Arabidopsis thaliana: one gene and its partners. The protein of the gene in region 1 interacts with the protein of each later gene in a pairwise test. Each region holds a gene or a part of one and is shown in the gene's direction. Other genes may lie near its edges.

Region 1 (6,235 bases):
TATAATCAAGCTTTACGCAGCTAATGTAATTAAAAAGTTAGTCCTAATGAAATAATGTAATAAAAAAGTTAATCCTATTGAAATAAGTTAAATGTAAATTTTGATATTCAATAACCGAAATGTTAGATCAAAACAGTAGACTCGAATAAATCTTTTTATTCAAAAAGTACACTGTTGTTTTGTTTGATTCAACTACACCATTATTTACTTTTCAACCAACCCCATCAACAAATAACCGATGGTAATAAATATAAGCATTTACTACAAGACATACGTAAATTTTTTAAAACACGTTTTATTTATAATTTAAGGATATGCAAAATTACACCTAGGATACAACATCGAATGAAAATAGATAATTTAATAAATTTTGTTAAAAGATAGGGTCCACGTTTCTATTTCGCATCATCTGCATCAAACTACCACACAAAGTCATCGCACCAACCATATACCTCTTTGCTTACTTCACTTGAGTTTCAAACCCATAAACAACAACAACAGAAAATATATACTGCCAATTAAAGTAGCATTTTCATCTCCATCGTAATGTTATAAATACACAAATTGTTGCATATATATGACAACGTTGATATTCATCTGTATTTTGATTTTTGCACTTTAATATCACATGCAATTATTTTCAGAAAAAAATATCACATGCAATCCTAAAATAGTGTCATATTAAGAATTTAGTTAATCCAATATAATGATTCTTTGTTGATAAATGTTTTTAGTTAATTTCTCTTATATACTGTTTCTTTACTTGTATTATGGTTTGAATGTGACTGAAGTTTTAAACACGTCTCTTGTATATAATGACAAGCTAGTAGTCTTACCTCAAACTGTAAATCAATTTCCACAGTTTACACCGATTTTTTTTTTTCATTTTCATACTAATGGACAATTATATAGTACTAGTAGTATAATGATTGATGCATGTCTTTCGTAATATTAGACTAAATTCAATATATTGCCTATCTGAGATTATCCTTTTTTGAAGTATACAGATTGTCCATGATTGAAAAAAAAGGAATTGCATGATTTATCTTTTGATTTATTGGATACCAATCATGTACTTATCATCATTATCTTTACGAGGTACTTTTTTCTTTGCCTCTCTTTTCTTTTGAAAAAGTGAAAAGTAAGAAATATAAATACTAAAGAAAAATAGTTTATCAATTATCCGAATCACTAAAATTAGTTGATTCACTAAGTTTAATCTTATATAATCTGAATATATATATATATATATATATATATTTCTTTGTTTTGATGCATATAGTGTCAATTTATCACAAAGTAAATTAATTCAATGAGTTCAAATAATTAAAATTGTTTATTTCCTATATAAACTTTAGTTATAACTTTCACTTTTACAAAAGAAAAATAAAAAGTACCGTATAAAGATAATGATGATAATAAAACATGATTACAGAATCCTATTTTCCTAAAGATAGATGATTCAGTGAAGTTCTTTTATATATTTCTACAGCTAATGTTCATGCATTAATTTTGATATTGGTGTTTACTGTTTACAATAGTGGAATTCGACGATATAGGTTATAAATGGATGTTGCGGTTACTGCGAACTAATTTATCAGCGGTTTAATCTACTTTATTTTTAAGATGGACAATAAACATAAACCGTTGTTGATTCAAATTATTTCAATATAAAAATATCTATGATTAGTCTATTTGTAATCATTTGAATCCGTAGAATAAATGAATAGTGGAAATCTTTTCACTTCAATAGTTGATCAAAAGTTTATTAATATTTATTGCTGTAAAAACAATCCCAATTAATATCTTTTAGTAAAGATGCAATTAAAAAAAAATTGATTGCTATTTTGAGTAATGCGATATAGACAAAAAATAAATTGTTAAATATATTTTAAAGGCATAAGTATATTTTGTATTTTTGAAATCTTACATAACTAATTTAAAGAAGAGAGAATTTGTCTTAGTAAAATATTATTTGCCATCACTTCACTAGATTTAATCGAGCTACAAGTTTACAACAATTTGACTTTTAGTTTTTGCATCATAATCCACGTCATCGTTGGCATATTATCAACCGTATGTAATGTATCTCCCCCTCTCTCTTCTCTCTTTTCTGATAAACCTCACCAGCTCCTCTCAAATTCTGCAACAACTAAACCCTCTCTCTCTCTCTCTCTATCTTTCTCTCTTCACCATTTCTTTATCTTCCATGGAAGAACAGTCTTCAACAACAAACTAAAAACATGTTTCTAAAGTTGTTTCTTCTCTTATCTTTGGTCTCCTTCTCACACTCAGACTCTTCTTCCACAGTTTCTTGTCCTAACGGCACAGACTTCCATCAACTAACCACAGTTTTTCGTTACGTCTCCGGTTTCAACTCTTCCTGGTTCTCCTCAAACTGCTCCGCCGTTATCACTCACGTCGTTCTTCCGTCAAGAAAACTAAACGGCACCGTTTCTTGGAACCCTATACGTAATCTCACGCGCTTACGTGTTCTTGATCTCTCCAACAACTCTCTCGATGGTTCTCTTCCCACTTGGCTCTGGTCTATGCCAGGTCTTGTCTCCGTTAATCTCTCTCGGAACCGGTTTGGTGGCTCTATACGAGTGATTCCAGTTAATGGTTCGGTTTTGTCTGCGGTTAAGGAGTTGAATCTCTCGTTCAATCGGTTTAAACACGCGGTTAACTTTACCGGATTTACCAACCTCACAACTCTCGATCTTTCGCACAACAGTCTCGGTGTTTTGCCTCTTGGTTTGGGTTCTCTATCGGGTTTACGCCACCTTGATATATCCAGATGTAAAATCAATGGTAGTGTTAAACCGATTTCCGGTTTAAAGTCGTTGGATTACTTGGATTTATCGGAGAACTCAATGAACGGTTCGTTCCCGGTTGACTTTCCGAATCTCAACCATCTCCAATTCTTGAATTTATCTGCAAACCGGTTTTCCGGTTCGGTTGGATTTGACAAATACCGAAAATTCGGTAAATCAGCATTCTTACACGGCGGCGATTTCGTCTTCAACGATTCCAAAATCCCTTATCACCACCGTATCCACCGTCTACCACACCGGCATCCGCCACCAGTGCGTCAACGAAACGTTAAAACGCACCGTACAAATCACACTCCTTTGGTGATTGGCCTATCGTCTTCGTTAGGAGCTTTGATAATCGTAATCTTCGCTGCGGCTATAATTTTAATCCGCCGGAGAATGAAATCGGCGAGAACGAAATCGAGATGGGCGATTTCGAATCCTACACCGTTAGATTTCAAAATGGAGAAATCTGGACCGTTCGAATTCGGAACGGAGTCTGGTTCTTCATGGGTCGCCGATATAAAAGAGCCAACGGCGGCTCCGGTTGTGATGGCATCTAAGCCGTTGATGAATCTGACTTTCAAGGATCTGATTGTTGCCACGTCACATTTCGGAACGGAGTCCGTTATTTCTGACGGCACTTGTGGTCCACTTTACCGTGCCGTTTTACCAGGAGATCTCCACGTGGCAATTAAAGTGCTTGAGAGAATCAGAGACGTTGATCAAAACGACGCCGTTACTGCGTTCGAAGCTTTAACTCGGCTTAAACATCCAAATCTTTTGACTCTCTCCGGTTATTGCATCGCAGGTACTAAACTAATCTCTCCCAATATTTTTAATTTCGGTTTAGTTACGACCTAAAGTTTTGAAATTGACTTAAAAACCCCAATATAGGACATGCTTTGATTCGACTAAGTAGCAAATAAATTTTATGCTATAATGTATATATAACTTTGGATAAATATGTAGTTTTAGACAAAAAAAAAAAGGATAATATGTAGTAATGTAACAAAATATTTTCCGTTTTTTTAACCAAGTTACTAAACAAAGTAAATATCTCACAAGTTAAGTATATATCAAGCAAAAAAATAGAGAATAGTTAAGTTTTATTTTTCTAAACAAAGATAAACAAGATCATATAATTTTTTGTTGCTAATTATAATTAGTGGAATACGCTAATTTAGAACAAAAATATATCAAAGATTTGACTTCTTTTTTATGTAAAATATTTTTTTGATTGGGGTTGGAATAAATCAATAAAATAGTGGAGGCGTAGACGTCATTTAATGAATTTTTGTCTCTACTTTCACGGGTTTTTGGATAAACACATTAATGAGGCATTAAATGCTGAACGGTGTCGTATTCAATAGTAGTATCTTCGTATGCGTTGTAGTACAGACGAAAGAAGTCAGTTCTGTGATGATGGTACGTCACGTAAAAAAAATCTAATGGTTTTTGTGCCATGATTACAATTTTTTTATGAATTTTCGTGACCTTAACGTAAAAATGTATAATTATTCCAAAAAGTTTCTCAGAGAAATATGTGTGATAGTTTCTTACAATGACTTGTTTTTAGGGTTGTTTCATTTGGTGTTTTTGTTAGTGGACGACTGGGACGACTTTAAAATATGTGCAGACAAGTCACATCCTTTGCTTTGGGACTCGTAGAGATTATATATAGCTTGTCGGGTTTCAATAATCGTTTTTTCTTTACGTACATGCTAAATATGTTTTCTTTTTTACCTAATTATATTTACCATGTTTACCAATTACCATAATATGTTTTGCAGTATTAACTCTGTTTAAATAGTGAATTCGAAAGTTAATAGTCTAGCATCACTGTATTAATTTCAGTATTTAACTAAGATTTACAATTTACTGAATTTATTTGGTATGGGTGAATTAGGAAATGCAATATTAATTTACATATATAATTTAAAATATTCATACTTGTGACAAAAAATCAGTATTATATTTATTTGTTCGTAACCAATATTGCGGTTTATTATTTTTAGGAAAAGAGAAGCTTATATTATATGAATTTATGGCTAACGGAGATCTTCACCGATGGCTACACGAGCTCCCGGCGGGAGAAACCAACGTGGAAGATTGGAGTGCCGATACATGGGAGAGTCACGTCGGAGACTCATCACCGGAGAAAACAAATTGGCTAATACGTCACCGTATCGCCATAGGAGTTGCACGTGGTTTAGCCTATCTACACCACGTTGGTACTACTCATGGACACTTAGTCGCTACCAACATCCTCCTAACCGAAACCCTAGAGCCGCGTATCTCTGATTTCGGTATCAACAACATTGCGAGAACCGGAGATGATACTAATAAAAACAATGTAGAATTCGATGTGTATAGTTTCGGGGTGATTTTGTTTGAGTTATTAACCGGGAAGCAAGGGAGTGATGAGAATGTTAAATCCGTTCGCCGGTTGGTTAAGGAGAGAAGAGGAGAGGAAGCTCTTGACTCGAGATTGCGGTTAGCTGCTGGAGAATCGGTTAATGAGATGGTAGAGAGTCTTCGAATTGGTTACTTTTGCACGGCGGAGACGCCAGTGAAGCGACCAACAATGCAACAGGTCTTGGGTCTTCTTAAAGACATACGTACGGTTTCACGTTGAGTTAGGAAAAAGAAAGTTGGGTTTAAGATAAATCATGTGAGTATTAGATTCGGGTGTTGTTGTCGATTTGCGGTGTGTGAGATATATGCCCTTTTCTCAAAGTGCTTTGTAATTTTTTCCTCTCTAAAATTATAGAAAAATATTCTCAAAAATTGACAACTAATGCAATTGTTAATTTTCTTCAAACAAACGTTACACAAATTGTAAAAAGAATATTTCTAATTTAAAATTACATTAGAAAAAAGAACTAAAATTGTTATTGATAACTATTGGTTTTGCACCAGTGATAAGAACCTAAAAATCACTAACACGAGATTTTGATTATTGGTTTTTGACACTTTGAAATGACTGAACTCGAAAAGGATTAGAGTTTGGCATTGACACGTTAGTTGTAGTCTCAGTGAAATTAGAGTTTAGCGTTGACACGTCAGTCATAGTCCGAATTAAATCAGGGTTCGACAATGACTTATAAAAACGCATGGAGCGTTAACAAAGAATCCGAGATATCATATCCTCGCCGTTTACCAAAATGCATTGACGATATATTAGACTATCTACAAAAATTCACTAACGATATTATTTAAAATTATCCAAAGTTAACTTTTAGAGAATTTTTGATGATATAAATTTGTCCAGACATAATTCTACTTATTGGTTTTCTTTTCGCGAGCCGTACTACTCCGCGTTATAGAATAATGAGGGAAAAATGCTAAATAGGGGAAGACAAAACAAAGTGGGTAAGGTGGAAAAGTATTGGTAAGATACTGCTGAGAAGCTGGTGAGA
Region 2 (4,315 bases), on another chromosome or scaffold:
AATTGAAGAAAGTTGATTATATCAGAAAAGTCAACAACGGACAAATAATATTGGATATGAAGAAATCCAACCTAGTCCAACAGTAGAGAAACCATAAGTTTAGTCAAATTCCAAAGAAAGCTCCAACAACTAAAGAAGTTAAAAAAGGATTTTGACTATCTCTTCTCTCTACCTTCAAAGATATGTGAAAAACGACCCAAAGCCAAAGTTACACTCCTATGTCTAAAGAATTCGTTTGCCGAAAGTGATCCGCTTAATATGATCTAAAATTATTTACAATAGAGAGTGTTGAATTGATTTAATAGGATATTGCAAATGATGATGAAAATGAGGTGGATTAAATTGTGTTAAAAAACAATAGTTGGTTTTGATTTGCTTTTTTTTTTTGGTATCAGGAATTCAATCTCTGGATTTCATCGTCAATGTATTATGATCCTCAATTGAAAAATGGCAAAAGATTTTATTTAATACAATATTTTTGTGTTCTCTCTTCTAATTCATTTCATGGGTTTCATGTAGAGTCTGTTTCCAATTTATTTATTTGTGTGTTGTAATACTCTATGATTTTGATTTATTTTTAGTTTGTAACATATTGTTTCTATCTCATTTCCTCTTTAAGAGCTATGCCACCACCATTCTGGTTGATTTGTGAGTTAGCACATTAATCGCTAATGTACATCATATCAGAAACAACTCTTGACTCGATTTTTTTTACTTTCATTGTATGTTTAATGTAGTTTTTTCTTCAACATTGGGCCACAATTGGCCGGCCCATTAGCCAGACAAACAACTCTTGGATCGAATTTTTTTCCTTTCATTGTGTATTTCATGTAGTTTTTTTTCAACATTGGGCCACAATTGTCCGGCCCATTAGCCAAATCCCTACATTTGTATCGAGCGGGACTCAATCCCAAGTGTGATGGTGCATGTTTTCGGTGGTACATGTTTTCATGTAATTTTTGTTTTATTATTTTAAGAAGTTATCATCAATTAGAATTAATTGTATATATCTCATTTTCATTGTATAGCTAAGGACCCAATCTTTACAGAGTTCATCTTTTTTCTCTGTCTGATTAATCTTTTTTTTTTATTATGTCTAATTAATCTTAAAGTTGCTAGACAAATAGATTCATGTACAAGATTCACTCAAACTAAATATGAGCGAGAAAAAATAGTATATATATTGAAAACTAAATTTGGGAGATACATGGGCATTTTTTTCGATTCTTTAACTCGTGAATTTAGGTTGTTCTTTTGTCGTTTCAGTTGTTGTTTTTTTGTATCAATCACTCGTGAATTTAGTTTTTTTATGAGAGCATAATTTATTATAATTTGCAATAGAGTTGTAAAGTTTAAATTGCTATAACGCTGTTTTGTGGAGAGTTAAATAGGGTGTTGACTGTTGAGTCATAAGACCAATGTGTATGGTCTTAGAAAGAAAACCTTGTCATAATTATATAAGATAATAAGTTCTGTTATAGAGGTTATTAGACAAGTGATAGGTCTAACCAGTCCAAATCACAAAATCCAAAAGCTAAACATTGCTTTTCGAAAGAGAATGTATTTCGTAAATCTGATTTGCAACATTTTGGGAAGTTTAAATTTCGAATCCAATGATATAAGAATAATAAAACAAAACAAGGTATTACATGAACATGAGTGAGTCACTGTAAAAAGTAAAAAACAACAAAAAGCCTAACATACATATATATATATATTTATTAATTTATTGTACCTTTTCATGGTTTCTTTTTTCATGCCTGTAACTCTGAGAAGGACACAGACACATTTGTTTGTGTAAGTAATAAATAAGTGTGAAAACACAATCAGAGACAAAAGCCTAAAGACTCGAGCAAACTTTTTATTAATATTTTGTTTGTTGCTTTGCTTTGATTTGTTCAAATTTCAAAAACTTCTCTTTAACCCACCACTCCCTCCATTACCACCACAACTTCACATTCTCCGATATTCTCTCTCTCTCTATCAATCTCTCACTCTCAAACTTTCTACATACCTGAAGAAAAAAATAATCTACGAATTCGAGCCAAAAAGATCGAAACTTTTTAATCTATGGGTGCTTCAGGGAAATGGGTCAAGTCCATTATCGGTCTCAAGAAGCTAGAGAAGGATGAAATCGTAAGTTCATTATCTTTTTTTTTTGTTCTCTCGTTCAAAGGTTAAAGCTTTATCGAGAGATACTCTGTTTTCAGGAAAAGGGTAATGGGAAAAACAAGAAATGGAAGCTATGGAGGACTACTTCAGTAGATTCATGGAAGGGTTTTCGAGGAAAACATCGGTCTGATTCAGACGGTGTTGATTCTTCTACTGTTTACTCTGCTGCTGTTGCTACTGTTCTTAGAGCTCCTCCTAAAGATTTCAAAGCTGTTAGAGAAGAATGGGCTGCTATTAGAATCCAAACCGCTTTTCGTGGATTCTTGGTGAGTTTGCTAATTGGTTTTGATTAGAATTGAGAGGAATAGAACTTAGTTTAATTTGAGGATTTGTTGTTAATTAGGCGAGAAGAGCGTTGAGGGCATTGAAAGGGATAGTGAGGTTACAAGCTTTAGTGAGAGGAAGACAAGTTAGGAAACAAGCAGCTGTTACATTGAGATGCATGCAAGCTTTGGTGAGAGTACAAGCTCGTGTTAGAGCTCGTCGTGTGAGGATGACTGTTGAAGGACAAGCTGTTCAAAAGCTTTTAGATGAACATAGAACCAAATCTGATCTCTTGAAAGAAGTCGAGGTTCTTGTCTTTACCTTTTTAGCTCATTGGTTTGATGATTGTTTATTGTTTTGAGATTTGTTATGTTCTCAGGAAGGGTGGTGTGATAGGAAAGGTACTGTGGATGATATTAAGTCAAAGTTGCAGCAGAGACAAGAAGGTGCTTTTAAGAGGGAACGTGCTTTGGCTTATGCTCTTGCTCAAAAGGTAACTAACTTGTCCACATTCAACATCTTGTTTAAGTTCGTGTCTGAAGCTGAATCGGGAATCTTGTTTTGTGTAGCAATGGAGGTCAACTACTAGCTCAAACCTTAAGACGAATAGTTCGATTTCGTATCTTAAAAGTCAAGAGTTTGATAAGAATAGTTGGGGATGGAGTTGGTTGGAGCGTTGGATGGCTGCTAGGCCATGGGAGACTAGACTTATGGACACTGTTGATACCGCTGCCACGCCTCCTCCTCTGCCTCATAAACATTTGAAATCACCGGAAACTGCGGATGTTGTTCAAGTTAGAAGAAACAATGTGACCACTAGAGTATCTGCAAAACCTCCTCCTCATATGCTGTCTTCAAGTCCTGGTTATGAGTTTAACGAGAGCTCAGGTTCATCCTCGATTTGTACTTCAACTACGCCTGTTTCTGGAAAAACTGGACTTGTTTCAGATAACTCTAGCAGTCAAGCAAAAAAGCACAAGCCAAGTTACATGAGCTTGACTGAATCGACAAAGGCTAAGCGAAGAACTAACCGCGGTCTCAGGCAATCTATGGATGAGTTTCAGTTTATGAAGAACTCTGGAATGTTTACAGGGGAATTGAAGACTAGTCCTTCCTCAGATCCTTTTGTTAGTTTCTCCAAACCACTCGGTGTTCCTACTCGATTCGAGAAGCCGAGAGGTTAAATGTGACCTTGTTAGATTGGAGTTTCAACAGCTTGTTGTTGTCTTGTGTGTTGTGAGATATCTGTGTATGTTGTTAATTGTTCTTTTTCCTTTGGAACTACATTGGAGTTTTGAATTTAAATATAAATTTCAGTCTTGCTTTTATTTCACTTGTTTCAAGAATCAGAATCTTTTGATGGTTCTGAGCTTAACCCCGTTCTTGAAGCTGAGAATTATACCATAATCAAGCTGCAGTGGTATCTCCATTTCTAGGGAATGTCTGAAAATGTAATTACGGTAGAGATGCAGTAATGTGAGTTTGATCTCTTGCAGGGCAAATCTCTGTCCAACACAGGCTCGTGGACCGATACCGAATGGGATGAAAGCGTATGGATGTCTATGTTTCTCCTCTTCTCCGTTCGGATCAAATCTTTCCGGCTTGAACTTCTCCGGTTCTGGAAAGTTTTTAGGGTCCTTTGCTAGAACTCCTAGTGCTAACCAAACCCATGTCCCCTAAGCAACAACCACAAGGTAAGTAATAGATTACAAGTGCTGACTGTAAATGGACTAATCCGCTTGATGGGTTTGAATATACCTTTGGGAGTAAATAACCTCCTATCTCCACTTCTTTAGCAGTTTCCCTTGCAACCAAAGGAGAAACCATGTAGAATCTCATAGCCTCTTTAATGACCTACAAAGGAGGCAAATAAAAAACA
Region 3 (4,037 bases), on another chromosome or scaffold:
GAATTCAGTGAAACGAACTAATGAATGCGTCTTTGTTGAAGGTTCTTGGTGTTGAAGCAACAGCATCTCCACAAGAGATAAGGAAAGCGTATCATAAGTTAGCATTGAGGCTTCATCCTGATAAAAACAAGGATGATGAGGTTTAACTGAGGGGTTTTGGTTTCTTTACTTTTCTTAGTTTTTAGGGGTCTATTCAATTTTACATTGTAACCGGAATTCTTGTTTTTCTTATCCAATACAGGATGCTAAAGAGAAATTTCAGCAGTTGCAAAAGGTTATTTCGATTCTCGGTGATGAAGAGAAAAGAGCAGTCTATGATCAAACTGGCTCAGTTGATGATGCTGTAAGTTGAAAGAAAGTTTTCAACTTAAGTAAAGGTACTGGAGGATTTTCTTACAAACTGGTTATTTCCCTATCTCATTAGGATCTTTCGGGAGATGTGGTTGACAACTTGAGGGACTTCTTCAAGGCAATGTACAAGAAGGTAAGAATCATGATTCACAATTGATTTCTTTTTGGACTTTGCAACACAACTGTTTCGTTCTGTATACTGATCATTTGTGCTATAGGTCACCGAGGAAGATATTGAAGAGTTTGAGGCCAACTATAGGGGTTCTGAATCCGAGAAGAATGATTTGATTGAGCTATATAACAAGTTTAAGGGTAAAATGAGCAGGTAATTAATCATCCCCTTGTTTTCATTATTGTCAAGTTTGTGAGTTGAAGTTTGTATAAACATTATTGGTACTATATCTCTTTCAGGCTTTTCTGCTCAATGCTTTGCTCGAACCCCAAGCTTGATTCGCACCGTTTCAAAGATATTATCGATGAGGCCATTGCAGCGGGTAGGCTTCTCTTTCTTGCAATAATTCTTTTGTCTATAAAACCTATCCAGGTTCTGATTTGTTTGTGCATACCATTGTTTAACATCTGCAGGAGAAGTGAAATCAACAAAAGCTTACAAGAAATGGGCAAAGGAGATTGCAGAAATGGAACCTCCCACGAATCCCCAGAAGATGAGACGGAAGTAAGCTTCTATTTGTCTACCTTTTCCACCCCAATAAATGCCCTCTGAAGTTATCTTTGTTGTGACCTGTTTCAAAATTTCTATACTTTCAGAGCAGCAAAGGCTGCAGATAAAGATTTATACGCTGTAATGTCCCAGCGGGGAGATGAGAGGAAAGAGAAGTTCGATTCAATGTTCTCTTCACTTGTCTCTAGGTATGGTAGCAATGCTGACTCTGAGCCAAACGAAGAAGAGTTCGAAGCTGCTCAGAGAAAAGTTGAAAGCCGGAGATCATCGAAGAAGTCTAGAAAAAAATAAAGATTATGTAGTAGTTTGTGAAATTTAGGTTTCGTGTTTGTAATGGAGACCAATGTTTTTAGCGTAAATTAGATCACATTTGTTGCTTCTTAGAAGTTGAAGACTAATGTGTATTTGCTAGGAAACAATGTGTATTTTTACTTTTTGTCTTTTTTCCAACAACAAAAAAAGCAGTGAGTTTACCAGTTCAAAAGCTCAGGGTCCCACGTGTATGTCGTCTGGATCTTCAGAAGAAGAGAAATTCTATCACCGGGTCCTAGGACTTCTCCACCTGCAAAAACAATCAGGTCGAGTAATGCATCATAATCAGTTGATAACTAAACAAGCCTTTGTTACAATGTAACATATAAACGTACGGTATCAACCAAGTTTCTCGGGAAGAGGAGAGTGGACGGATCCTTTGGCTTGTATAGGCCTAAATAAAGAACTAACAAATTTCAAGTGAACTTATTTAAAAGAACCAAATAATTATTCTAAAAGAGAAGAAAAAAATGAAATTATTTACTTATATGGCTTGTATAGGCCTAAATGGCATACAGTTAATAAATTTTGTTAGTTCTTTATTAATTAACACCAAGCATCTTTTTTTTTTGTTGAAAAAGAAAAAGGAATTTAACAAAAAGGATATTCACAAAAAGAAACTAGAGAAGTAATAATAAAAAGGAAAGAAGAATCTAATGTCCAATAGAACCCCAAAGTAAAGTACACCAATTGTTGAGAGAAGAAGAGTTCTTTTTTTTTCAAAGGTATTTAAGGAGAAGAGTCGCAGTCGCAAAAAGACGAATCGTAATTGTTGAAGAGAGCAAATATGGCTTGGGATTTGTTTTTATGGATAGTCTCCTTCTTCGTTAGCTTGGCTCTCGTCGCTTCCGTCTTCTACCAGGTAATCTATCTACTTTGTTTGTCCCCTTTTACTTTCCATTAAGATTCTTAAATCGAGATCTGTCCTTACTGTTCAAATCCTGATTGTCGGAATTGTACTTGTGAAAAAACACCGAGCAACTTAGCTTTTTGTTCGAATTAGCTAAAAAATTAGGAATGGAACAATTTTCCTTTGTGTTCGTCGGTTTTGTACTAAATACAATTGACAATTTTTTGGGTCCAGAGAGGTTTCATTGTTTATCCTTAATCTTATGCTTCTAACTCAAAGTTGTTCTTAGTTCTGATTTGGATTGTCTGCAAGGCTTGTATATGATACTTGGTCAATTGAGACATATAGTTGATTAATTGCGAGTTATATACTGTGAATGAATGAAGTTAGATACTACTACCAATAGTGTTTACTCTCATACTAACTGCCTCTGCTAATGATTGAAGCATTGAGATTCCTTTTTAGTCTATTGATATCGTGTGTGATTTTGTAGGTTATCTGCTTAACGGATTTAGAAGCTGATTACTTGAACCCTTTTGAAACAAGTACCCGTATCAACCGATTAGTAATACCTGAGTTTATCCTCCAAGGGTCACTCTGCCTTCTCTTCCTCCTCACATGGCATTGGGTCTTCTTTCTGGTCGCCGTCCCTGTAACAGTCTATCACGCAATGTTGTAAGTATCTATATCCATCCATATTGCTTATGATTCTTGATTGACATGCGTGGAAACTAAATACGCGCCTCCCATTGTTCTTCAGATACAAAGAGCGACGTTATCTCATCGATGTCACTGAAGTGTTCCGTGGTATCAGCTTTGAAAAGAAGCTCCGGTATACCAAGCTCGGGTTCTACGTCTTTCTCTTCATCATGGTTGTCTTTAGGTAAAAAAAACTACAGCTTTAGCTTTCCTATTAACATCTTCACTTACTTTGGTTCTTCTACTATGAAGTTACTTACCGAGTCCATAAAACATTTTTGCAGGCTCACTCTCTCTGCGGTCTATAGCTTCACGGAAGATGATGATCTACTTCATTTGTTTTGATTTATGCGCTTGCGCTCTGCGTTATCAACCACTCTCTCTTTATTTTCTGAGTGTGTTTTAGAAAATTGTGACAGGTTTTTATTACGTCCCTGCTTAGAATTAGCCATTCAGGGATTCATCATGTAGCTTTATATAACGTATGATTACCGAAAACTCATCACAAATCGTTTGACATGGAGGGTTTCATCAGTTTTGTTTTGCGCAATATAATGTTCAGTCTCATCATTGAAGTCATAAAAATCATGTATCAAGAATGAAGCTACATTGTATTACATAGACTGGCTGTGGAAAAACGCACCGATATCTAGTTTATCGGAGATGCAATTGAACCCGCTGTGGACCTTAAATCCATGTCCATCCAAGAGGAGGAGGAGAAGGTGACCCAAACAGAAACTCTGCAAGAACAAAAACCAAGGCATGTTTCAACAAACCTTTTTATATGAGCCAATTTTTGCGATAGTGACCAAATAGCGACCCAAGAAGGATTACGGCCCAACCCAAGAGAGTTATCCAGCTTGATTACGTCCCAGACCCCCTATGACCCGATCCGGACCGGCTCAGACCATCTCACAAACCGATAATATTTACTACGGGCATTAAACCGGTTAAATAAGGAACTTTCCTTATTTAGATTTTTTAGGGCAAGAGTCTGGGACCACGAGAGACTCTAGTCAATCCAAGCGAAAAGATCATTCAAGATAGATAGACTACAATTTTCATACTTGGCCGTGGCCCGTGGGTGTCCTTAATTAACTCCCAACGACTATGCCACTTAATCCAGCAAATAGGCGCTTATTC
Region 4 (4,629 bases), on another chromosome or scaffold:
GAGGGAGAGTGAGTCTACTTGGATTGGTATTAAAGGGTGCATGTGGTGACTGAGGTGGATTAATGAGAAGTAAACTCTTAGCAACAATATTTAATTTGATGTTCAATGACAGTTTATAATTTCTTTTAAATTTTTGTGAGCTTTTAAAAATATGTTAGTAAATGTCTACATTCATGAGCATTAATGTGACATATACTTACTCCACTGATCTATGAAAATTATGAGATGTGAATATAGGATTATTATTTAAGTTGACTATAATGAACTATAATGGTATTTCATATATAATTAAGCCTTCCCATTACGATTTAGGTTCTAGTTGGACGATCTATATTTTTCTTTTTGTCAAATCTAACCTTTTTTTTCTTCAAAAAGTCAGATGATCTTTAGTATGTCATTTGCATTCAATAGTTATACTATACGGTCGTTAATTCATTTCATACACAATTATTTTAAACTACGTTTTAAATTTTAATTCGAATATATTATTTTTTTAGGATTTACACATGGTGTTAACAAATATTACAAGAGAAGTTGTAGAAGTACTCAATAAGAGTTTGTTTTACATGGATTTGTGTTGGGCCTTCATGAGCTTTGTACAGCGCCTTTACAACACTCAAATAAATTGTCACTCAAGGGATATAAACCCAAAGGCCGTAGCTCCTCCAACACAAATCCAGACCACTCTTTGTTTCCAGTATTACTATTATTCCTCTAAGTACATTAGAAAGGTGTATAAACTTTGTTTTACAACATATAATAGAAAAATAAACATTACTGTTAAACAATACAAAACTTTACAGAAAACGTACAGTATGTTTAATTATTGATAGATTAATATTTAGAGGCCGATGAAAGGTGGAAGTTTTTTTATGGGAACCTGGTAGACATAGAATGTTGTAATAATATTGTCCATCAATCTGATTTTCGATTTGAGATTACCTAGTGTAAAATATAAGTAACATAAGTAACAACTCACTTATGATCACTGCACTATTAAGTACTTCTTCCTCAATTCCTTATTACTCCAAATTCTACAAAAAAAAGTTTGTTGCAAAAAGATACAAATTTTAATTTTTCTATACAAATTTTAAGTGTGGAAATTGTTAATCACAAAAAATAATACATTTAGGATCAATTTTTTTCATGTGTGAAAAACTTAGAATTTGGATTAATAAGGAACGGAATTATTTTGAGTTTATGTTTGTTTGGAAAAAAAAAAGACTAGGTTTGCTTCAAATTATCCATTGAATAAAGGATGTTTAGATGAGATTTTAATGGATTTCAAAAGATATTCTAGTAGTTTATAGAATTTCGTATTTAGTATTTTTTTTGAAGGACAGCAGAAGAATATATATTTATTAGTGTAAAATCAGTCAAACTTAATTAATTTGATTCTTCAAGGACTTTTTTTGTAAATTCATATGAAGCGTCGAACAATGTTAAATAACGAGGATAATGAGACAACGGTCAAACGGTCAAACGGTAAACCCGTTCCTCTTACCCCCAAATTCAAGTAGCTTTTGTGGCAAGAAACCGTTTACTTTTTGTAATTTTTTTGTTTGTTTATTGACGTTTATATATTTCTAAAAAAACTAAACCCTGATGTATTCCAATTTTAGAACTTACGCGTCTTCATAATCTTCCTCTTTTTTTCTTTGTCTTTGATATTCAAAGTTTTTGTTTATTTTTTCTTTGCTTAACCCGGAGAGACACCCTCTCCATAAATTTAGGTTTGTTTATAACAACTTATACATATTTTTTTCTCTTCTAATAATAAAACTCTGTAACCATTAAACATGGTTTTGATCTCATTTGCAGTTTTGATCCCTCTGGGTTCCTTGAAGAAAAAAACACCAATTCCATTCATATTCTTCTTCATACGTTCAATAATTCTTACGAGGACGAGATCTTCCTAACGTCTTTGATCTTCTTCATTAGGTTCATTTGCATTTGTTAAACGCTTAAAAATGGATCTATTCGTCTGATATATATATGATTGTTGAATCGGTTTTGTTATGATTGTAACAGGAGATAAGTCTAAACTGGTCGAAGATGTTGGGAGATTTCATCATCAGACTCCTTGTGTATGTCCTAACCATATCTCTTTTTTTCTTTTGATTAATTAATCATGTATATTGATGTATATATATAATTGAAATGGTGAGAATGGCAGATTGATATTAGGGTACACATACCCAGCATTCGAATGCTTTAAAACGGTGGAGAAGAACAAAGTTGATATCGAGGAACTCAGATTTTGGTGCCAATACTGGTATTGAATTATTTATATATGATCCCCTTTTTTCTATCCTCGATACTTTTAAACATTCATATATAATGTGTAGTGTATGTAGTAGATTTGTAGTGATAGGCAAATCGATTTTAGTTCGATCATAGTGATATACTTTTCTCTGTTATGGGTTTTTGTTTGATTTTAAAAGAGAAAAAAAATCAAAATTCCGTTAAGTTGATGTCTTCTGCTAGAAAAACCATTTATGAATACACCTCATCTTTTGTACAAGTCTTTGGTTTCGAACGTTGATTATATACCTAGTCTGGGGATTACTGGGACAATTGTATTAGGTTTATTTTAAAGATATCTCAATATATGTGATGCACGTAATTCTAATATGATAGTTTATTGTCAATATGTACTCGAAAATATTAATTTGTTAAACATTTGTATTTGAATAATTAGGATACTTTTGGCGCTAATTTCATCATTCGAGAGGGTTGGCGATTTTTTTATCTCATGGTAAGTAAGTTTTATTATTAGTTAATTCATGCCTTAATCCATCTCTGTCTTAAAAAATATTAACAATCATCAAATAATTAATTGATATATGCAATTATTATTTGCAGGTTACCGTTATACGGAGAGATGAAAGTAGTCTTCTTCGTATATCTCTGGTACCCTAAAACAAAGGTAATATAATTTTTCCTTTTAAAAAGTGATTAGTTGGATCATAATTAATTAGTGGTTTATGGTGATGTACAAATAATAATAACGAAATAAATAATGAATGAAGGGAACGAGACATGTGTATGAAACATTGTTGAAGCCATACATGGCTCAACACGAGACAGAGATTGACAGAAAGATCATGGAGTTGCGAGCTCGAGCTTGGGACTTTTTCATCTTTTACTTCAACAACTTCGCCCAGGTCCTTTTTTAAATTATCTTTCTATTACTTATATATACAAATTGTTCTTTTTAAAGGTTTGACTAAATTATTATAAGATTAACAACATACATATAATGTTGATGCACAGGCCGGTCAATCCACCTTGATCCAGGGTTTTCAGTACGTACTCGCCCAATCGGTCCGGTTCTCTGCCGCTGCAGCTAACCAACCGGTACTTTTCTATCGCTTTTGATTTTCGTTTTATGTACTAATGCAAACACAATCTTGTGTTTATTACCTCCCTTTTGCACTTTTGAATTTTTGTGTTTGTGCTAAAGCCAACGGAGAGGAACGTGAACATGAACGCGCAGTCACCGGTGGAGATGGACAATGATCCTCCATCACCGCGCGCTCCAAGACCGCTGAACAAATCACTATCTGCGTTGCGATCGCTAGAGAAGCAAACAAGCAGAGGGAGGAAGTGGCCGCCACCAACACCACCACCAACACCAGGCCGAGACTCCGCCGGAACATTTAACGGTGATGATGGAGTCAACATTCCTGATACAATTCCGGGATCACCCCTCACTGATGCTCGAGCTAAGCTGCGACGTTCTAACTCCAGAACTCAGCCAGCGGCATAGTAACGCAAACGTACATATACGTGACTCGACAAAGAAACCCTTTTCGTTTGTTTAAAGATATATAGGGAAAGAAAAGTGAATGAAAGTTTTGAATTGAAACAAAACAGATTTTTTTTTTTTTTTCATGTTTTCTGTAAATTGAAGCAGTAAGTATTAATACAGCGAGAATATTTGTGTTTGTTTTCGTTTAAACTTCCCGCTTTAATCCGGATATTGATTTGAGTTTGGATTTCTTCATATAGCTGATTATAAAGATGCATTTGAGTGGTCAAAAATATTATAATCAAATAGTGTACCAATGCAGCCGATGAAGTACATTCTCTGTTAAACTTACATTAGTTTCTCGGTGCTCCTCTACAACATCACTCTAGGCGATAAATGAATCATAATCTAATGGTACATTGTATGGAACGCACCTGCCATTGGTTCATACACGTTCTGTAGTTGCTCCCTCCTTGTATATGATTTTAGGGAGTGTTGTGAGGTAACACATTTGGGATCAGAAGTTGAGAAGTGTGCTTGGTATTCGATCATCTCGGGGTTGAGTCAACAGCTGTTGGTGCTATTTCGCCCATTCCTGGTGGTGGAGTACTCACGTCGGCTATTCCATAATCCCAATCGATACCAGCTTTTGCTAGAGTTAAGGATTGCGTATTTATATCTTATGCAGATAGATATAGTTAACTATAAGAGAGAAACAAATTGCATATATGCAAAGGATACAGTCAGTTTTCCAAATATCCGTCATGCTAATCTCAGCATTTGAGAGAAGCCAGTAGTCCGACTCATCATTCTGCAAAATACAAGACCAATATCAAACAACAATTATGAGGGTAGATTTTGAGTCAGGTTAATTA

The links.
Region 2: the proteins of MEE62 (region 1) and IQD6 interact in a protein complementation assay, tested with the Arabidopsis thaliana proteins (one large-scale study listed by BioGRID).
Region 3: the proteins of MEE62 (region 1) and AT3G12180 interact in a protein complementation assay, tested with the Arabidopsis thaliana proteins (one large-scale study listed by BioGRID).
Region 4: the proteins of MEE62 (region 1) and HVA22J interact in a protein complementation assay, tested with the Arabidopsis thaliana proteins (one large-scale study listed by BioGRID).

What each region holds. Positions count from the first base shown.
Region 1 is NC_003076.8:18,574,981-18,581,215, reverse strand, and holds MEE62 (Leucine-rich repeat protein kinase family protein), read left to right. Parts: upstream 1-1,974; 5' UTR 1,975-2,243; coding exon 2,244-3,624; intron 3,625-4,392; coding exon of another isoform or gene 4,393-4,484; exon of another isoform or gene 4,485-4,831; coding exon 4,832-5,451; 3' UTR 5,452-5,696; downstream 5,697-6,235. UniProt on the Arabidopsis thaliana protein: Can phosphorylate the myelin basic protein in vitro. Required for endosperm development in embryos. Maybe involved in auxin and osmotic stress responses.
Region 2 is NC_003071.7:11,142,738-11,147,052, reverse strand, and holds IQD6 (IQ-domain 6), read left to right. Parts: upstream 1-1,949; 5' UTR 1,950-2,070; coding exon 2,071-2,136; intron 2,137-2,210; coding exon 2,211-2,438; intron 2,439-2,515; coding exon 2,516-2,743; intron 2,744-2,815; coding exon 2,816-2,929; intron 2,930-3,005; coding exon 3,006-3,620; 3' UTR 3,621-3,763; downstream 3,764-4,315. Other genes in the region: CYP711A1 (cytochrome P450, family 711, subfamily A, polypeptide 1), read right to left, coding at 3,783-4,112, 4,195-4,290. UniProt on the Arabidopsis thaliana protein: May be involved in cooperative interactions with calmodulins or calmodulin-like proteins. Recruits calmodulin proteins to microtubules, thus being a potential scaffold in cellular signaling and trafficking.
Region 3 is NC_003074.8:3,881,332-3,885,368, forward strand, and holds AT3G12180 (Cornichon family protein), read left to right. Parts: upstream 1-1,998; 5' UTR 1,999-2,132; coding exon 2,133-2,207; intron 2,208-2,688; coding exon 2,689-2,870; intron 2,871-2,955; coding exon 2,956-3,078; intron 3,079-3,178; coding exon 3,179-3,239; 3' UTR 3,240-3,533; downstream 3,534-4,037. Other genes in the region: AT3G12170 (Chaperone DnaJ-domain superfamily protein), read left to right, coding at 42-140, 242-343, 425-484, 570-676, 763-845, 937-1,027, 1,120-1,324.
Region 4 is NC_003071.7:15,122,567-15,127,195, reverse strand, and holds HVA22J (HVA22-like protein J), read left to right. Parts: upstream 1-1,607; 5' UTR 1,608-1,733; intron 1,734-1,821; 5' UTR 1,822-1,941; intron 1,942-2,031; 5' UTR 2,032-2,055; coding exon 2,056-2,087; intron 2,088-2,176; coding exon 2,177-2,275; intron 2,276-2,701; coding exon 2,702-2,758; intron 2,759-2,865; coding exon 2,866-2,929; intron 2,930-3,032; coding exon 3,033-3,167; intron 3,168-3,276; coding exon 3,277-3,360; intron 3,361-3,466; coding exon 3,467-3,772; 3' UTR 3,773-4,076; downstream 4,077-4,629. Other genes in the region: E2F3 (E2F transcription factor 3), read right to left, coding at 4,303-4,400, 4,496-4,565.